Linked DNA regions of Mus musculus: region 1 is reported to be linked to region 2. The links are microRNA targets in miRTarBase. Many come from high-throughput screens and were not tested one by one. Region 2 holds a microRNA gene; the other region holds the end of a gene's coding sequence. Distances are between the middles of the regions.
What was found. Region 2 holds the annotated microRNA mmu-miR-344f-5p (AGUCAGUCUCCUGGCUGGAGUC, at 6,266-6,287, shown strand). A microRNA usually pairs through its seed, bases 2 to 8, with sites in the 3' UTR of a target mRNA and lowers its output. Matches are read on the target gene's strand: a 7mer-m8 pairs with bases 2 to 8, a 7mer-A1 pairs with bases 2 to 7 and ends in A, and an 8mer does both.

Region 1 (7,256 bases), 60 Mb from region 2:
AAGCAAAAGAAGCCAGAAGACGAAGTTCACGTTTTCTCTCAGTTCTGGATCCAGATTGTATAAACACCTAAAAGAATATCTAACATGAGAGCAGAGGAAAGACACGGGAGGAAAAAGAATGGAAGGTGGAGGTGGGAAAGAGGGAAGATATGCAGAAGGGAACAGGGGTAAAATGCATAGTACAGTTAGGTAGATTGTCTTTATGAAACACAGCACTATGGACATGAATATTCAATATAAAGAAGAGGAAGCAGAGAAGGGAGGAAGAAAATCACATGTCTGACTTCATGTGGTGATACACGCCTGCAATCCCAGCACTGGGGATGCAGAAAGAGGAAGATTCCTTAAGTTTGAAATCATTTAGGCATACGTAGCAAGACCCTGTCTCAAAAACAAACCAAACAGCAAAAAAGAAATATATAGTCGGGTGTGGTGCCACACGCCTTTAATCCCAGCACTCGGCAGGCAGAGGCAGGTGGATTTCTGAGTTCGAGGCCAGCCTGGTCTACAAAGTGAGTTCCAGGACAGCCAGGGCTATACAGAGAAACCCTGTCTCAAAAAAAAAAAAAAAAAAAAAAAAAAAAAAGAATAAGAAAAGAAAGAAATATATGCAGTCATTGAATAAGTGTTCCATGTATTTTAGTAAAGATGATCATTAGTGTCCTTCAAAACATATGTCCTTGATCATCTTCTGAGTTGTCCCACCAATTGCTGCTGAAAGACTAAGTTTCCAACTCATTATTGTTAGCTGGGCACACACCTTTCAATGCTCAGGAGGCAGAGGCAGGCCAAGGGGAATTCAAGGCTAGTCTGGTCCTCAATGTGAGTTCCAGAACAGCCAGGGGCTGTATAAAGAGACCCTGTCTCAAAAAACAAACAAACCAACCCACGGGTGGAATTCATCTTGTTGTACTGCCACTTTTCTGCCCAGCTGCATTTATTTTTGCTTCAGGTTCTTCAGGGCTCTGATATTAGGTATATGTGCATTTGTAACTTTTATCTTCCTTAAGTACTAACCTAATATCATCATCAAGTACACCTTTATCTCTGAAACAAAGCTTGTTCTCTGGTTTACCTGGCTAATTTTTTGAGTATATTTTCTTTGTGCTATGTGTCCACTGGTGTCATTGAGGCCCAGGCTATTTTTGTTGTTGTTGTTTCTTCTTTTAAGATTTATTTTTTTAAAGATTTAATTATGTGTATATATGCATATCTCTGTGTGGGTTTGGTCACTTATGAATGGATGTACCCAGAGTCCAGAAAATGACATTGGATCCCCTAAAGCTGGAGTTACAGGCAGCTGTGAGCCTCCCAATATGGATGCTGCGAACCAAACCTGGGTCCTTGAAAGAGCAGCATGTGCTCACAGCAGTGGCTGTTACACTGTTTCTATAGCATTCCACATCCACAAAGCTGTGGGGGGGGGTGGATTGTTAGGGCAGTCAGCTTGGCAGGATCTAAAATCACATAGAAGATGGGCCTCTGGACATGCCTACGAGGGATCATCTCTTAGACCAGGCTGGCTTCAAAGCTCAGAGATCAGACTGTCTCTACATCTAGAGTGCTGGGATTAAAGGCATGTGTTACCAAGCCTGGGTAAGGGACTATCTTGATTATGTTAATCAAAGAAGGAAGACCCAGCTTCATTGTGGGAAGGACACTTCCAATGGGCAAGAAGGTCCAGAACCTTATAAAATGGAGAAAGCCAGGCTGATTATTAGCTGTTTCTTGAATATGGATACAATATGACCGCCTGCTTCAAGATCTTCCTGCTTTGATTTGTTACACTGAACTATAAGCTAAAATAAACTTTCTGCCTTAAATTCCCACAGCTTAGAACAGAAAAGGAAACTAAGAAGGGGAACACATTCCAAGTTTAAACCATTCTCAAGTCTGACCCAGCGTTCCCTTTATACTGAGCTCTTATGAATGAAGTCTTGAGATTAGCTAGGGCTATGTGGTCAGTTGGGCTCTCCAGTAACTCAGAAACCTGACACAACCTCAGGCAGGGAATGCAGCTTCTCTGCTGATAAATGGTGGTTCTGGGTCATTCCAGTGTGCCTCCCACAACAAAGATGCCCTCTGCAGCAGGGAGAGGGAATAGTGAGAAACCCCAGTAAATAGTGACCACAAACCATCCTCTTCAAGCACCAGCCTCCCGACACAGAGACCCCTCAGGTCCCACCAACCTTTCCCTCACTCCCCAGGGACCTTTTCAGATGTGTCCATGCTGCCAGCGGCTCCTTAGAAACATGTCAGTCTGTCTCCTAGTCCTGACCCTAAGCCTACACTTTTAAAAATATTTAATTTTAATATTGTATATGTATAGTTTATGAGTTGTGAACATCAGTTCAGGTACATGCAGAGGCCAGAAGAGAGAATCACAGATCCGGATTGTTGTTAGCCTCCAGACATGGGTCTTCTGCAAGAGCAGTGCATACGCTTAACCTTTCTGGCCCCAAGCCAACAATTTTTTTTTTGAGACATGCCAAATGGACCTGGATAAGCCAGACATAGTGGTGGACATCCTTAATGCAAGCACTTGGGACCTAAGAGTTCAAGGTCATTCTGAATCAAAGAGCCTACGTTCAAGAGATTTTTCTGTTTTTAAGTGGTGAGGGACACTTGAGTGTTACTTCCTGGCTTTAACACAAATTCAGTCAGCCAGAACTAGCTTTATATGGAAGTTCCACACCTGCCCATGTCAAAACAATTGCTGAGTGGAGCACATTGGTTCACATCCATTTTTGGTTTTGGTTTTGTTTTTGCAACAGGGTTTCTCTGTGTAGCCCTGGCTGTCCTGGAACTCACTCTGTAGACCAGGCTGGCCTCGAACTCAGAAATCCACCTGCCTCTGTGGTTCACATCTTTAATCCCTGCACTAAGGAGACAAAGACAGATGGATCGCTATGAATTTAAGGTCACCCTGGTCTATATAACAATCTCCAAGCCAGCCGAGCTACAGTGAGACTCTGTGTGGAAGTCATAACTTGAGGCACTCAGTGTTTCCTCGTGTTCCCAGAATCAAACTCAGGTGGTCAGGCTTGACACATGCAGGTACCGCACCTGCTGAGCCATCTGGTGGCCCCTAACTACATTTTAAACATTGTTACCAAGAGTATAAGGAGTCAGCTGTGGTGGTACACACCTATATCCCAGCACGTGAGAGGTAGAGGCAAGGGGATCAAAGTCAACCTGTGCTACATAAAACAGTGCTAAGGCAGACTAGGTGGCTTGCTCAAGAGGGTGCATGTGAGAGAGAAAAGACCGAAGGTGACTCTCAGGCAGATCCTACAAACAAGCGTGGTGGGGGAGAGAGAACTAAAGACACCTGGTTTATAGCTCAGGTGAAAGGAGACTGAGCCATCCTTTGCTCTTGGTGTACCTACTCTCCCCCAGCTATCTAGTGTCACAATCGTCTGCTTAGCATTCCTAGTGTGGCTCTGGAAAGCAGATGAGGGAACTTCTATTCCGTATGTGTGCATATGTGTACCTGTGGAGGCCAGAGACCAATTTCCTGTGCCCAGACACCATCCACCTTACTTTTTCAGACAGGGTCTCACAGGGCCTGCTACGCACCAACTGGCTGGTTAGCAAGCGCCAGTGCCGGGGATTGTACTCTCTCTACTTGTGCTTGCCACTACACTCAGCTTTTCTATGTAGGTTCTAGGAATGGAACTCAGGGCCTCACTCTTGCACAGCAAGTGCTTTGAAGAGCCATCGCCCCAGCCCAGAATTTCCACCTTTTATATTTTAATTTTGAATCATGTTTAATACCCATCAAAACAGTGACACTAAACATAAGAAATTCAGCTTTATTTGGTTTAGAAATTTCAGTAAACGGAAATGAAGTTGAAAAGAACCCACCTGTAATTCCAAGACCCAACCATGGCCAGTTATGTGTATATCCAAATATCTGGGGGGAAATGTTTGGTTTAAAGCTAGAACAAGGGGATAAGGATGTAGCTTGGTTAGTTTTATGTAAACTTGACACAGTCGTCTGAGAGGTGGGAACTGTAATAAAGAAATGCCTCCATAAGATGAGTCTGCATGCAAGTCTGTAGGGCATTTTCTTAAATAGTGATTAATGGAGAGAGGGGTCAAGCCCACTATGGTGGGACCATTCCCAAGATGGTGGTCCTGGCTTCTGTAAGACAAGCTGAGCAAACCACAAGGAGCAAGGCAGTAAGCAGCACCCCTCCACGACCTCTGCATCAGCTCCTGCCTCCATGTTCCTGCCCTGTTTGAGTTTCTGCCCTGCCTTCCTGTGAGGTGGAAATGTAAGCCAATAAACTCTTTCCTCCACAAGGTGTTTTATCACAGCAGTAGTAACCTTAAAGCCATAAATTTGATGGCCAGAACAACAAAGAAGAATAACCTGCATTTTCACTTAGCAATAGTTTGAAAGCAGGCTTCTCTCACAGTAGAGGGAAGACTGCTTGCTAATTTTGTACCATACTATCGAATCTCTCCTTCCATGGTAACTAGACCCCAAGTTTATACTGTGTTGCACTGCACACAACATCCATACCTTCCCAGTGTGGTTTGCAGCTAGGTGTGGCCAAATACCCATACAGGACAAGATGTGAAGGCAGACATCATGGGAAGTTTCCAGAAAGCCTTGGCATTTCCCCTTTTCCTCCTGTAACTGTTTTTGTTGTTGTTGTTTGTTTTGGTTTCCAGAGACAGGGTTTCTCTGTGTAGCCCTGGCTGTCCTAGAACTCACTCTGTAGACCAGGCTGGCCTCAAACTCAGAAATCTGCCTGCCTCTGCCTCCAGAGTGCTGGGATTAAAGGCGTGCACCACCATGCCCGCCCGGCTCCCTCCTGTGACTGACAGTGCATTGGCAACTGTGATATTGAAGCTGCATCTGGGAACAGGGCTGTGAGGAGCGTGTTCCTGGGAACTTAAAGGCAAAAAACCTTGGATGCCCTGCTCTAGCCTGTTTCCACAAGTGTGTAGTGTATATTGGCTACTATATCATGTTTCTTTGAACATGGTATTTGAGTTCCAGGTCAGGTTGGACTATAGCTTGAGACAACAAAAAACCAGGGGGCTGGGGATGCAGCTCAGTTGGACAAGTGCTTGCCTAGCATGCACAGGCTTGGGGTTCCATCTTGTCAGGACTTGGTACACATGAGTTGGAGGCAGGAGGATCAGAAGTTGAAGGTCACTCTCTTTCAGTTTCCACAGTGAGTTTGAGGTCAGCTTGGGCTACATGAGACCTATTTTTTTTTTTTTTAAAGTCAGTCATTGTAGCGCAGACCTTTAATCCCAGCACTCAGGAGGCAGAGGCAGTGGATCACTGTGAGTGTGAGGCCAGCTTGGTCTACATGGTGAATTCCAGGCCAGCCAGGGCTACAGTGACTGTCTCAAAAACAAACAAAAACAGCAGCCAGAAGCTATCCTAAAAATCTACTGAAATTATCAATATTAATATACACCTAAAGAAAATTATTGTTGGATATCCAACTAGATGAACATGTCATAATTGAGAGATGGCCCTCCAGTTTCTGAGGCAGAACCCGCAAGACTGGATGCCAGGACTTTCCAGCCCTCAGCACCCATTTCAGACCTCAGGGTTCCTTCTCCCATGGACCCAGCCAAGCAGAACTTGTTGAAGCATGCATGCCAAAGAACCCAGCACATAGTAGGTGCTCTCGAGTCAACCAGTAGCTTGAGTTTCCTTTCTGGGGACACCTGAGGCAAACACCCACCCCTCTTCTCCAGCTCCTTCAGCTCGTCAGAACACTGCTCATCATGTCCTCACTTGTTGACAGAAAACCATTCCCCGCCAGCCTGTCCCCTCTAAATGCATCCCCTGTGGACTCAACACCAGGCAGATCTGAACACAGTATTTATTCAATGATGTTCTGTACTTAGTCACCACATGGCTCTCTACCTGCATCGCAGCTCCCCACCTTGGATTGTGAGGGCTCAGGGCTGGCCCCCCTTAACTATGATTCACAACAACGAACACAGGGTCACAATGAAAGAGCTCTGAGATGTTTGTGAACAGAAAGAATGAAGATGACATTGTGGGTCCTGAGTAAGGGCCCAGACAGGCTGCCCAACCCACAGAACCCAAGGCCTGAGCAAGGCCTCAAGAGGGTCCGTCTAAGGGAGTATCTAAGGCACTGTAGTGAAGGACATGATTGGCCCAACAAGTGTGGTCTCCTGGTTTCATGGCAAGCCCCTTGCCTGAACCAGTACAACAAACATTCCATTTAGAAGGTCTTACTGAATATCTGCAAGCAGCATTTGCTAATGAAAAATGAAGACAAGGCCATTCTTGGAAGAGTGTGCCCCAGAAGACACTCTCTGTCGCAAGACCAACCAGGTCCCTTTCTAAGGTCCCTGAGAATAGCAGCCTGGGAGCAACTAAGACTTTCAAAGGCTGACAAGGCACAGAGTGGATGAATGAAAAGATTAACAATACATGGAAAAAACTTTGGCTTATAAAACTCCAACTCGAGGCAGGGGCAACATTGTCAACCAACATGCAGAAGCAGGTATGAGTGCAGCAGAGATGATCTCAGAGGTGGTCAGCATCCCCCATACTGCCCAAATCCCAAGCCCAGCTCTCCCTCCTCCCCCAGCACCCCAGTAACACACACGCACCCACACATACATGATCAACAGACACATTGGCAATCAAGGCCTAACATCAGGAGAGAATCCTTGGCACTCTGCACTACATTACAACAAGTCCCGACCAGACAGTAAAAGGACGCTGGCCTAAGCGTGACTGAAGAGTCTTGGTTGAAAAGTCAGGCGGTGCTCAAGACAGCCAGGTCTGGAAAGTCTTTCACCTCTCCTACTTCACTGAACGGCTGCCCACCTTGGTTGAAAGTCAGCTTATACCGCAACCGGATAGGTTCCTAGGACAGAAGAGAGGCTAAGATGTTAAATCAATCAGTAGGAAAAAGAGTCAAGCCTATAGTAAAAGCTTCCACCCAACTTAAGACTCTCCAAGGAACAGCTTACAGCTTATTTATTTTTGAGACAGGGTCTACTGTGTGGCCTAGGCTAGCCTGGAACTTGCTGTGTAAATCAGGCCTATCTCTTCCTCTGGAGTGCTGGTATTACTGTACACCACTATACTTGGCTCGGTGTGTTTACATAATTCCCCCAAATGAAGAGGTAGAGTAATGGAATGCCATGAATACCCTGGCTTAGTCTCTTTAGAACTACAAATACCAGTGCCAGGCATGTATCCTGGAAGCCCAGCCCACCCCAGCAGTCCCAAAGAGTAA
Region 2 (12,579 bases):
ATGAGTTGTAGGCTGCAGTTGGAACTAAGATCACAGTATAAAAACTGAGCCATCCTGCTACCCCAGGGAATACAACTAACTAGTGGCTGTAGCATTGGAGAACAGGATCTCCTTTGTGGTTTGCCTTGTGTAGGGCAGAGAAAAAGGAATCAGATATACTAAAGCAATTATTATTAAAATGAAGGGGTTCTCTGTGGAAAACTTAGTTCTTCCTGTCCATGCTAGTGTATCCAATGGTGATGAGAGGAAGAAATAATAGATGCTAAGATTAAACGCTGTGCTAAATATTGATTATATTTGATTCGGTGTCTTCTTAGCTTTGAACTCCTGAGATAAGCTGACACTTGCTCAGAAGAGATGGCAGTGGATGTTCCAAGTGCTTTACCAATGTTAAATCAGGAGTCCTATTATTACTTATAGTGTAATGACTTTTGCATCATTGTTCTGTCCATATACTGTATATCCCCCTTTTATTGTAGCTATCACTGTGTAATCTTTGAATGTTTTGCAGCTTTGAAGACTCATTTAATAAACATGGGAATGCATTTAAAGTATCATGCATTGATAATAATTTTACAAATGGTGCATAGGAGAGGAGATTCTGTTAAAAGGTACAGAAAAAAATACAAGCAGATATTTGTTGAAGCCACAACATTGTGCATTGGAAATTCTAGGGCTATTAATAGGTTACTTCCCTAGTAGTTATTGGCCACAGAAAACCTAGCAGTTTCTAAAAGAGTAAAGATGTTTGCAGCAGGTGTTGGCTTTATTTAAGAACTGAATGATGCCCTTGGTATTGTGAGGATCATATGCCCCAGTATAGGAGAATGTCGGGGCCAGGCAGTGGGAATGGATGGGTTGGAGAGCAGGGCAGGGAGAGGACATAGGAGGCTTTGGGGTAGCATTTGAAATGTAAATTAAGAAACTATATAATAAAAAATGCCTTAAAAGGTCATGGCAGAAGGAAAAAACAGAACTGAATGAAAAGGTTCTACTGTTGAGGAAGTGTATTGCTTGGCCTTTGAGGATTAAGAAATACAATTTAAGTCATGCAAGTCTTATTTGCTATAAAAAACGTTGTGAATTCAAATTTACCAGGTGTACTTGTCTAGAAGATTCTTTTTTCTTTGGAGTTATTCACTATCTTTGGCTCTGACAGTCTTCTTAATCCCATTTTCTGTTGAAATCTTTGAGGCATGAACTGATATGTTTGCTTAAGACATCTCATTTAGGAGCAAGTGCTCAAAGTTTCTCATACTTAGGCTATTGTACAGTTGTGAATCCTTATGTTATTTCCTATCTACTACAAGTAGGATCTTTGTTAATGATTATTGAAGAGCATGTTTATCTATGGGAGGAATTTTAATACTAGATTCCTTTAGCTAAATAATATTAACAGGTTTTCCACAAGCCTTGTCCCATCTAGTCTCAGGTGTTTTTTTTTTTTTTTGTTTGTTTGTTTTTTTTTGTTTTTCACAGTAACAATGTTCTCTATTGGTTCTGCTTTGTGGGTTACATCATAAATTCATAAAACTGAAAGATTACTCCAATGACTTTTGTACAATGATTTCACCAGTGTATTATACAAGCATATCATTAATGTAGGTTGCATCATTTGTATCTGGGTAGCATTGATGATTTCTTCTTTCCACCAGTTATGTGTAGAGTATCTCCCAATACCAGGATTTCTAGTCAGAAATAGTAAAGCTTCTAATTTTCATGAGCACGATTTCTCTGTGTATAATGTGATAAATAAGCTGCATTTCCAGCAATAGGCCTCACAATTAGGTTCTATAAAGTAGAAGATATCCTTGGCTGTAACCTGTGATAGCTGTAGAGTCTATATGACTCCATTAATAAATGAATCAAAAATAACCCATTTCCAATACTATACATTTTACTTGGTGGCTTAAATGTTTAGTTGAACTATCCTCTTTTGTAAGGTGAATCCATTAAATTACATTCTGAAGTGTATACATTTTAGGAATTTTTAAAGTATTTTTCATGTATTCATACATGTCTATATGATCTAATGATTACTTATACCATTCCATCTTTCATCCACAGCAACACTCATATATGTCCCATTTGATTTCAAATTCGAGGCATATTGTTATGTGTTTTATAGTTACAAACATATAATTATGTATATCTAATGACTAATTTCTGCATTCAAGGATTCCTTTGGATTTACAGTATTTTTCTATCTCTTCCATAATACTCTGAAGCTTGATGCTGATGATGGTTTTAAATTTAACTGTTGTTATTAGGCATACCAAAGTCAGATGAATTTTGACCAGGGGCATACTGTAAAGGTCTCTTTGTGCTGCAAAATGAAGTTGTTTTGCTGATGGTGAATGTTGCATTAATCTGTGGATATAAAGATATATATTTAGAATGTGATTATAAAGCATACTGGTTCAGTAAGTTGGCCGCTGTAGGTTGTTTTGCAAGACTGGTAATCTCACTGTCTGTGAACAGATGACTAGGGTTACAGTGTTTGGTATAACACATTTCCTTGATCATATAATAAGACTACTGATTATCATTCACATTACACTCTATCATGAACAATTAACGTGTAATTTTGAATAACTAAAACTCTATTATCATGATGAGGGCTATGATTTGTGAAATAATGACATTTGAGAGGAGTTGATGAAATATTGAAGTTTACCTATAGGTTTTGTACTGTTCTTATCTTTAGTGTTCACTTCAACATAGCATGGAGGTAAGGAGTAGATGAAATATAAAAATGAGAGACATAGGGGACTCTCTTTTCTACTTTAATATTGTAAGAAATTCTTAAATCAACCTTACTGGAAATGACAATATGAAAGAATATTTTGTTAGAAGCTTGTCTGTCTTGAATGTGATGCAGAAATTAGTGGAGAGTAATTATACTACCTGTGGCTGACAAAAGAATGATGCAGGTACTTTCCTATTTTCTAAGATTGCAGAGAATCAACATTGAAACTTTTGGAATATCTCAGAGATGATGATCTTCAGTGTTGTGGTACAAAGTGATTTTTGGAATATGTAGAGCAAATATTCTTGTGGTCCTTGAATTATAGTCAGTGGGTTATTCTTTTTTCTTTTAACGTCAACTATGCCTGGGTCTAATGGTGGCCCGTTGGGCAATATAATTCCTCTGAAATTATGAGCTTCTGATTTAATTGCTAGAATACACAGGTAAAAATCCACGTATAGTGTTTTTGGCATGCAATTCCATGGCATGCAGTTAAGATTGCTAAGTTTTTCTGGCCAGCCAAACTATTTTTTTGGTAAATTTGGTGAACATAAATGTATCAAATTAAGCAAAGGTAGTAGGTACAATATCAGAGTTATGCAAATGAGCTGTAAGCAGTTAAATCTGCATACACAAAACTTCTATAGATCAAGGAAGATAAAATCTTAGCAGGGGTGATAGAACCCTCAGGAAGTCCCACTCTTATTTTAGATATCTTTGGCATTTGATGGACTGCTGGAGAAGGGAGAATTTGTTTTATTCAGTAATGTTTGGCCTCAGAAGATACCACGATTATATTAGAGATCCATACATCCTTGAACACTTACATAGCCTAAATTGACAAGTTGATATTAAGAAGAGAGGGAGAATGGGCTGTACAACTCTATAGTATGACTGGTTATGGTTTTTCTGAAATAATCATCTTTTACACTGAGGAGTTTCTTTATGAATGGAGATGAGTAAATTTATCTTAGCATATTCAGACAAATGTTTATAAATTGTTATGAGATTAGACTATTACACAATATTTTGTTGTTATATTTGATTAATAAGTTTGTGGTTGACAATTCTCCACTATCCATAACTTCAGTAGCACCAAGTAATTAACTATGTTTCTAGTACTAGGATATTGTTTCCCTCTGAACAGGACATATTATCAATTAGAGTGTTAGTAGATGCCACAAAGTTATGTATGCTGCCACTGCACACTTGAGGTTATTATGCTATGCTGTTAACTGATGAGGTTTACAGCCATGATAGCTATATATGACTTTTGATTGCCTTTCTCCTTTGGAAGCTTGCCCATTATTTTTATTTGTATGTTCTTTTGGTGTCCCTATCACCTCCAGATTCCTCAATACTTCCTCCAAATTTTTCACAAGACTTCCTGAGTTCCATCTCATGTTTGGATGTGGATATCTGCATCTGTTTTGGTCAGCTGCTGAGTGGTGATTTCCAGAGAACAGTTATACTCAATTCCTGTATACTAGGTTCCTGACAAAGTATCATTAATAGTGTTATGATTTAGTTCTTGCCGAAGGGATAGATCTCATGTTGGGCCAGGCATTGGTTTGTCTTTCTCCCAGTGAATATGAAATCTTTGTCCCTGCACTTCTTGTAGATAGGAAAAATTTGGGGTTGAAGTTTTTATTGTGAGATAGTTTCATTATCTCTTCACTGGAAGTCCTCCCTGGCTATAAGAGGTATTCACTTTAGGGTCCATATCCCCTACTGCTAGGATTCTTAGCTAGAGTCACCTTCATAGACTTCCACAAGCCTCCTCAATTACAGCTTGCAAGTTCATAGTAGATCTATCCACAAAATATTCTTACACCTAATGTTTGTGGTACAATAAAGTGAAGTAGCAAAAATAAATGTCAGAGCCAGGTGATCAGCGAGTTTTGTTATAATAATGTTTCTATGAATAATTTTAAAAGCTCCATCAATTAAATTTCAGTAACCTGAACATCCAAAATTGAGCTAAACTTGATGGGAAAGTGTTCACAAGGACTCCACCATACTTATAGAACAACATGCAACTGAGGAAATCTGGAAAAGGAAGATGTGGCCATTCTCAGCGAAGATCACACAAATTATTTGTGTTTTAACAGAAGATCACCTTTGAGAATGTGTATTGAAGTAACATTAAACTTACTAATCAGATTATATTTAAGAATATATAGGTATATGCATGTATACATCCAACAAAAATTAGTAAAAGGGGGACATAAATTTGAAAGATATTGTGATGTGGTTTATTGGAAAATTGAAGGAAGAAAGAGAAAGAAGAAATGCAATTAAATTATATCAATAAGAATAAGAAGGTAGTCACACACATGCATACACAGAAATACACACAGACACACACACACACACAGACAGAAAGAGAAGAGAGACACAGAGAGACAGAGAGAGAGAGAGACAGAGAGAAATGAAAATGCAGCCATGCACAAACACATGCACACATACATAAAGAGAATAGAGAGATTCATATAAGTACAGATAGAGTAGTAATAGTAGAGATAGTGTAGGATTTTAGATTATAGAATGTAGGGTAGGTATTAAAAACACATAATATTTATAATGAATAAAATATGTCTTAAGAAATGAAGCTGCTAGTGGGGAAAAATGTAGATTTGTCTTTTGTTTGTTACCTGGATGCACAATATGCTCACTCCTCACACCAGAAATGTATGAGTTCACAAATGCAAGCAGAGAGAGAGAAAGAGAGAGAGAGAGAGAAAGAGAGAGAGAGAGAGAGAGAGAGAGAGAGAGAGAGAGAGAGAGAGAGAGAGAGAGGGAGAGAGAGAGAGAGAGAGAGAGAGGGAGAGAGAGAGAGAGAGAGAGAGAGAGAGAGAGAGAGGCAGAGGCAGAGAATAATTATGGACCTGTCTTAAAATAAATTTTCATACTACCTGTTAAATTATTTCTTTACAATGACTATACTTTAAGCCATTTCATGTTCATTAGATATATTTCTTTTTTAAATCTAATCTGCTTTTTCTGTAGTCTAATCATTCTAATAGACATAAAGTTCTAATCTAGTGTGATGGCTCATTCTTATAATCACTGCGCTTGTAAACAGTGGCGCAGCTGGGTAGAAAGCATCAGCAGCAGCTGCATCTGGCAGCTCAAAATCATAATCAGAAGGGTCCAGACAGACAAAGACACTTCCTTTTACAAGAGCATCTATTCCCAAGCAACCAGATACATGCTCAGAGCCCCCACACACCACTGGCTGTTTTTGCCTTTTGTCAAGTGGAACCATGTAAAATTGCATTTATTTATTATTTCTCATTTCACTGTTCCTGCCTGCTGCAGCACACAGAGAGGAGAGGCGATACATACAAGCTTGTATAGAAATCTCCCTGGTTACAGAAGGCTATTGATTTACATAGCTAGTTTTGAGATCTCTCACTTGATTGGTCCTAAGCCCATTCTTATTTTGAATGCACACACTCAGCCAATCATAGACAAATGGTGCTAATATAAGTCCCTGAAGAGAGGGGTTTTGCCAGTCAGTCTCCTGGCTGGAGTCCAGCTCTAAGCTGGTTCCAGGCTCTAGCCAGGACCTGACTACAACCTACTTAGCAGTGAAGGAGGACCCATATTAAGATATGCCAGGAAACAGAGCCAATGGAAAACCAGCATAGACAGGTACTTGCTAAAAGAGTCTGCACGTTTATTGAATTATTTGCTTCTATTTCCTCTTTAGGAAATGTGTTCCTTCTTCCTTATCCATTGCTCTTTTTTAAAAATATATTGCTCAGAGGGACTAATAGAGACTGAAGCAGTAGTCATGGAGCCTAGGTTCTTTGCAAGTGTCTGCTTATTAAGCTTGGGGGTTTTGTGGGATTGCCCACTGTCAGTGTGAGGATGTCTCTGACTCTTTCTCCCTGCTCTTGGGACTTGCTTTCTCCTACTAGGTAGCCTCATTCAGCCATGATTTAAAGGTTTTTTGTTTTGTTTTGTTTTCTCGTATTATTGCATCTTTTTTTTTTGCTATGTTTAGTTAGTATCAATGGGAAGCCTGTTCTTTTCTGAAGGGAAAAGGAGGAACATATGTTCCAGAGGAGACAGGGAACAGGGAGGGAGGGGAGGTTGCATTTATGATACACTGTATGAGAGAAGTATAAATTTTATATAGACATATATATATATGATTTACCCTTGGATTTTGGCTTTAATCTGCCATAAGCATCCCAGCCTTCAGTATATAACAGGAAACAGGAGAGCTGCTGTTCCATAAACATCTCAGCTTTCAGTATATAACAGAGACAGGAGAGCTACTGGTCCATAAACATCTCAGCTTTCAGTATATAACAGAGACAGGAGAGCTACTGGTCCATAAACATCTCAGCTTTCAGTATATAACAGAGACAGGAGAGCTACTGGTCCATAAGCATCTCAGCTTTCAGTATATAACAGAGAAAGGAGAGGTACTATTCCATAAGCATCCCAGCCTTCAGTATATAACAGAGACAGGAGAGCTGCTGTTCCTCAGACTCCCTTCATGGACCTAATATGAGGAGAACTGCTATCTACATATATCTCTTATCTGGCAAACTAAAACTCTGAGAGAAAGGTCAGAGCTGAAACATTCACTTTTTTAATGGGTGGTATTGTTTTATTGAAGGTAGATTTTATTTCATACAATATATGATTGTGTTTTCCCTGAGCCAAACTTTTTTTTAACCTTACTTAGGACTTTATTCTTTTGTTTTATTTATTTGTTTGTTTGTTTATTAAAAATTGGATATTTTGTTATTTATATTTCAATTGTTTTCCCCTTTCCAGGTCTCCCCTTGGGAACCTCCTTTCCCATTTCCCTTCCCCCTGTCTCCATGAGGGTGCTTCCTCAACCACCCATCCAGTTCTGTCTGTCTTCCAGCCCTTGTGCTCTGGCATTCCCCTATACTGGGATATCAAACGCCATCAGGTCCAAGGGCTGCTCCTCCCACTGATGTCCAATAAGGCCATTTTCTGCCACATATGTGGCCCAAGCCATGGGTCCCTCCATGTGTACTTTTTGACTGGCAGTCCAGTCCCTGGGAGCTATGAGAGATCTGGCCAGTTGACACTATTGCTCCCCTCCAAGTGTCAGCTCCTTCAGTCCCTTTTCCAACTCCTCCATCAGGGACCATGCACTCAGTCCAATGGTTGGCTATGAGCATCCACCTCTGTATTCATAAGGCTCTGGCAGAGCCTCTCAGGAGACAGCCATATCAGGCTCCTGTTAGCAAGCTCTTCCCAGCATCCACAATAGTGTCTGTGTTTGGTGACTCTATATGGGATGGATCCCCACATGGGGCAGTATCTGAATGGCCTTTCCTTCAGTCTCATACCAAATCCCACCCACCCAAATCTAATCTACACTTTTTCCTTGTCTCTTTAAAGAGAATATAGACATGAATTTACTACTACTACTACTACTACTACTACTACTACTACTACTACTACTGAGCAATCATTAAAATAAAACAAATCACAGTAAGACACACGAAAGAAACAAACAGAAGTAAAATAGCCAAATGAAATTATGCAGAGGCACACATGTTCACACAAAAATAAGTGGCACCAAAACACAATACCATAAACCATTATCCATTATAGGCATGCCCACAAAAAAAGGACATGTAAATAAACAAGAAAACACCACCAACAACAACAGAAACAAAACAAAACAAAACAAAACAAAACAAAACAAACACTGAGTGAGTATTATAAGAAAAAGAAACTCAAAAATGCCTTTGAGTACTTTTTTGTGTGCGATCTACTTCTGAGTTTCGGACCTTTAAAGTTAATTTGCATATGCGATGAAGCTCCACTAGAGGAAACTTAATTTTCCATTTGCTTGCAGTAATCAACTGGCGATAGCTTGTGGTTTTGTGACAGGTCATGTGCTGACTTCTAGCCAATAATCATCAGGTAGCATAAAAAAATGGGAATGGGTGGGTAGGGAAGTGAGGGGGAGGATATGGGGGACTTTTGGGATAGCATTGGAAATGTAATTGAGGAAAATATGTAATAAAAATATTAAAAAAACTGTAAAGCTGGAATCAAGAGTATCACAGATTCTATGTTCTAATCCACAACCAGTTTTTTGGTAAATATTGTTTCTGCTGTGTGATAAATATATTTGTTTACTCTTCCTTGTCTGGACACTCCAGTTTTGAAATCAGGCAAGTTAAGAGGACTGGCCATATCCTTAAGGAAATAACTTTTATATAAAAATTTCCTTTCAATTTTTTTCTTTTGAAATCTTTATTTAATCATAACATAGTCCTCTTTGCTTTCTTTCTACATCCTTCTCTATACATATTTTCACTCTTCTTCAAATCCAATTATTTCAATTTGTGCTTCTTATATGTACATATGATGTGAGTACCAAGATATAAACTTTCAACATTTTCAACATGGTAGAAAAATTAGGAAGGAGAGAAGTGGGGTAGAAAGGGACACATTATTTATTGGAATCTATAAAAGGTCTCAAAACCTCCATTGGGTGATTGGTTTGAATATAATAGATATAACAGATAATAGGAGCCACTATCACCCTGTACCTGAGGGGTAGTTCCCTTGCATTTCTGCTTAGAGGCTTTGCAGTGTCACTTAATATTTGTATATGCCTTTCTCCTCAGATTTCATCAGAATTGAGTTTAGTTAATTGTGGATAACTAGATCACCATATTGATAATATTGGAAAAGACATTGAACTAGAAACCAAATTTTAAAGGCCAAGTTGAGTTTATGTTCACATATTTATATGGCATGAAATCACAAGCATCCATTATTACATAAAATAGTAATTTAAATGGTCCAGTAGTAAATTGCATAACTAATAGTGGATGAGTTAATTTTGTAAATTCTTGAAATTTCATTTAATCATTTTTATTCAAGAAATGCACAAGGTACTCTAGCTGATTCTTTATGGTGTTCCTTAAGAAATGGTATCTCTCAGGAAAAAAAACTAGTTAATTAGATTAATATACAAATTTGAATTTGTATATTCAGAGTACTAGTTTTCTATTAGGCTATACTATGGCTAGTTCAATAACTTCCCACAACACATGAGAAATTTGACATAACTTCACTCCTTAGTCTAAATTCTATACTTTGCTAGATGTCTACCAAGAGAAAATGGGTAAGCCTTTTGTTCTTCACAGTTTGCCTTTTTTACTTGCTGCCATGTATTAAAATATGCTACCTACTTACTGTCTTGTTTATGATTATTATGCCTGGGATGAAATACCATTACCAAAAGCAACTTGGAGAGAAACAATTTGGATTATACATTGTCTTGAGGTTTCTGTTGCTGTAAAGTGACACCATAGCCATGACAAATCTAATAAAGGAAAATATTTCATTGTCTGACTTAATATTTCAAAAGTTTAGTCAATTATCATCAAGAAGAAAAGTATGGAAGCATGGAAGCATGGAGGTGGGGATTGTGGGGCTATATGCCCTGCAGCATTCAGGCAAAGAATTTAGGGAGGGAGTCCTTATTCTTGCTGCTGTCAAGATAAGACTGTAGTTTTATGAAGTGATTTTAGGGGGTTAGAAACCTACCAACCTCACTCCTATTCCAGTCCCATTCTTTCAGCTCACACTTGCCCTACAGCTCTCATGCCTTCAAATCCAGAGCTGTATGACATTTACAGTACTGGTATTGGCTGCTAACAGGAGGAATCACCTTAAAAGATCATGGAACACATCTGTGTGTTGACTCGTTTTTTTTTAAACGTGTATTGGTGTTTACCCTGTATGTTTGGTAATGGTATTAGATCTTGGAGTTATAGACACTTGTGAGCTGCCATGTGGGTGCTGTACATTGAACCCTTGTCCTCTGGAAGAACATTCTATGTTCATAACCACTGAGCAACCTTTCCAACCACTCTGTGTGTTGACATTTAAGAAACACTTTCCAGAAGACTTTACCTCAATTTGATATAACTTCACTATTGTGCTATTCTTTTTTTTTTTTTTTTGGTGATGAACTATCTTTTTTTATTTTTTAATGTTCTTTTTTTATTGGGTATTTATTTCATTTACATTTCCAATGCTATCCCAAAAGTCCCCCATATGCTCCCCCACCCACTCCCCCACCCACCCACTCCCACTTCTTGGCCCTGTCTTTCCCCTGTACTGAGGCATATAAAGTTTGTAAGACCAATGGGTCTCTCTTTCCAATGATAGCCAACTAAGCCATCTTCTGATTCATATGCAGCTAGAGACACGAGCTCCGGGGCAGGGGGTGGGGGAGGTTACTGGTTAGTTCATATTGTTGTTACACCTATAGGATTGCAGATCCCTTTAGCTCCTAGGGTACTTTCTCTAGCTCCTCCATTGGGGGCTCTGTGATCCATCCAATAGCTGACTGTGAGCATCCACTTCTGTGTTTGCTAGGTCCCAGCATAGTCTCACAAGAGACAGCTCTATCTGGGTCCTTTCAGCAAAATTTTGCTAGTGTGTGCAATGGTGTCAGCCTTTGGAAGCTGATTATGGGATGGATCCCTGAATATGGAAGTCTCTAGATGGTCCATCCTTTCATCACAGCTCCAAACTTTGTCTTTGTAACTCCTTCCATGGGTGTTTTGTTCCCAATTCTACGAAGGGGCAAAGTGTCCACACTTTGGTCTTCGTTCTTCTTGAGTTTCATGCATTTAGCAAATTGTATCTTATATCTTGGGTATTCTAAGTTTCTGGGCTTATATCCACTTATCAGTGGGTACATATTTTGGGGGTTCCTTTGTGATTGGGTTACCTCACTCAGGATGATGCCCTCCAGGTCCATCCATTTGCCTAGGAAATTCATAAATTTATTCTTTTTAATAGTAGAGTAGTACTCCATTGTGTAAATGTACCACATTTTCTGTATCCATTCCTCTGTTGAGGGTATTGTGCTATTCTTAATCACAGCTGATTTTCAGCATCCATAGGCCTAGAACAGTAAAAATCTTACTTTAGTGATCCTGGTCTCATGTTGGTTACAGCCAATACATCAGCTAAAGCTGATCTGACACAAAAGATTCATCACAGAAATGGCTTTGTAGAGTCTTTACTTCTCTCAGAAACATCACAAGCCAGGACACCATCACCTGTTATCTTAAAAACTCCTATGCCATATTCACTGTAAACTCAGCATGCAATGTTTTTAGTTTCCCAAGAGTTCAGTCTCCTTCCAAAATCTTATACAAAACAACATGGTCAGTTCTGTAACAGCAATAACTCACTCTTGGCACCAATCTCTGTCTTAGTTAGGTGTAGTGTTGCTGTAATGAAACACCAACATGCAAAACAACTAGGGAAAAAGACTGGGTGTGTTAATTTGTACTTCATTATCATAGTATATCATTGAAGGAAGTCAGACCACAAACTCAAACAGAAAAGGAAATTGGAAGTAGAAGTTGATGCAAAAGATATAAATAGGTATTGCTTACTGGGTTACTCTCATAGATTATTGATCCTACACTCTTATACAACCTAGGGCCAAAATTGCCTGGGTTCAATGAAATCAATCACTAATTAAGAAAGTGCTCTGTAATTTTGTTTACAGACAAAGATTATAGAGACATTTTAAAATTATGGTCCTATCTCTCCTCTGGCAATATCAAATGACAACTTGACATTAAAGTAACCAACACATACAAAGACTGTTGTACGAGTGAAAGAAAGCAAACATCACCATTCTCCATAGAGGACAGTAGGTTTTTATTTTTTTCTTTTCTTTATTATTTTTCTTATATGTTATTCCTTCTTTAAGTTTAATTATCTTACTTTTATGTGTTTATAGATACTATGTAATAATAAATGTTCTGACATTTTGTAGA

Region 1: the mRNA of Gga2 is a reported target of mmu-miR-344f-5p. Seed matches in the 3' UTR shown: 7mer-m8 at 5,246-5,252.

The regions. Positions count from the first base shown.
Region 1 is chr7:121,982,921-121,990,176 of GRCm38, forward strand. Gga2 (golgi associated, gamma adaptin ear containing, ARF binding protein 2) reads right to left here. Exons shown (of 17, transcript NM_028758.2): 17 at 3,802-6,881. The coding sequence ends at 6,771. Among named protein-coding and RNA genes, the nearest start is that of Cog7, 4.9 kb to the left of the region's middle.
Region 2 is chr7:62,039,933-62,052,511 of GRCm38, reverse strand. It overlaps Mir344f (microRNA Mir344f), which reads left to right and starts at 6,264; the gene lies at 6,264-6,331.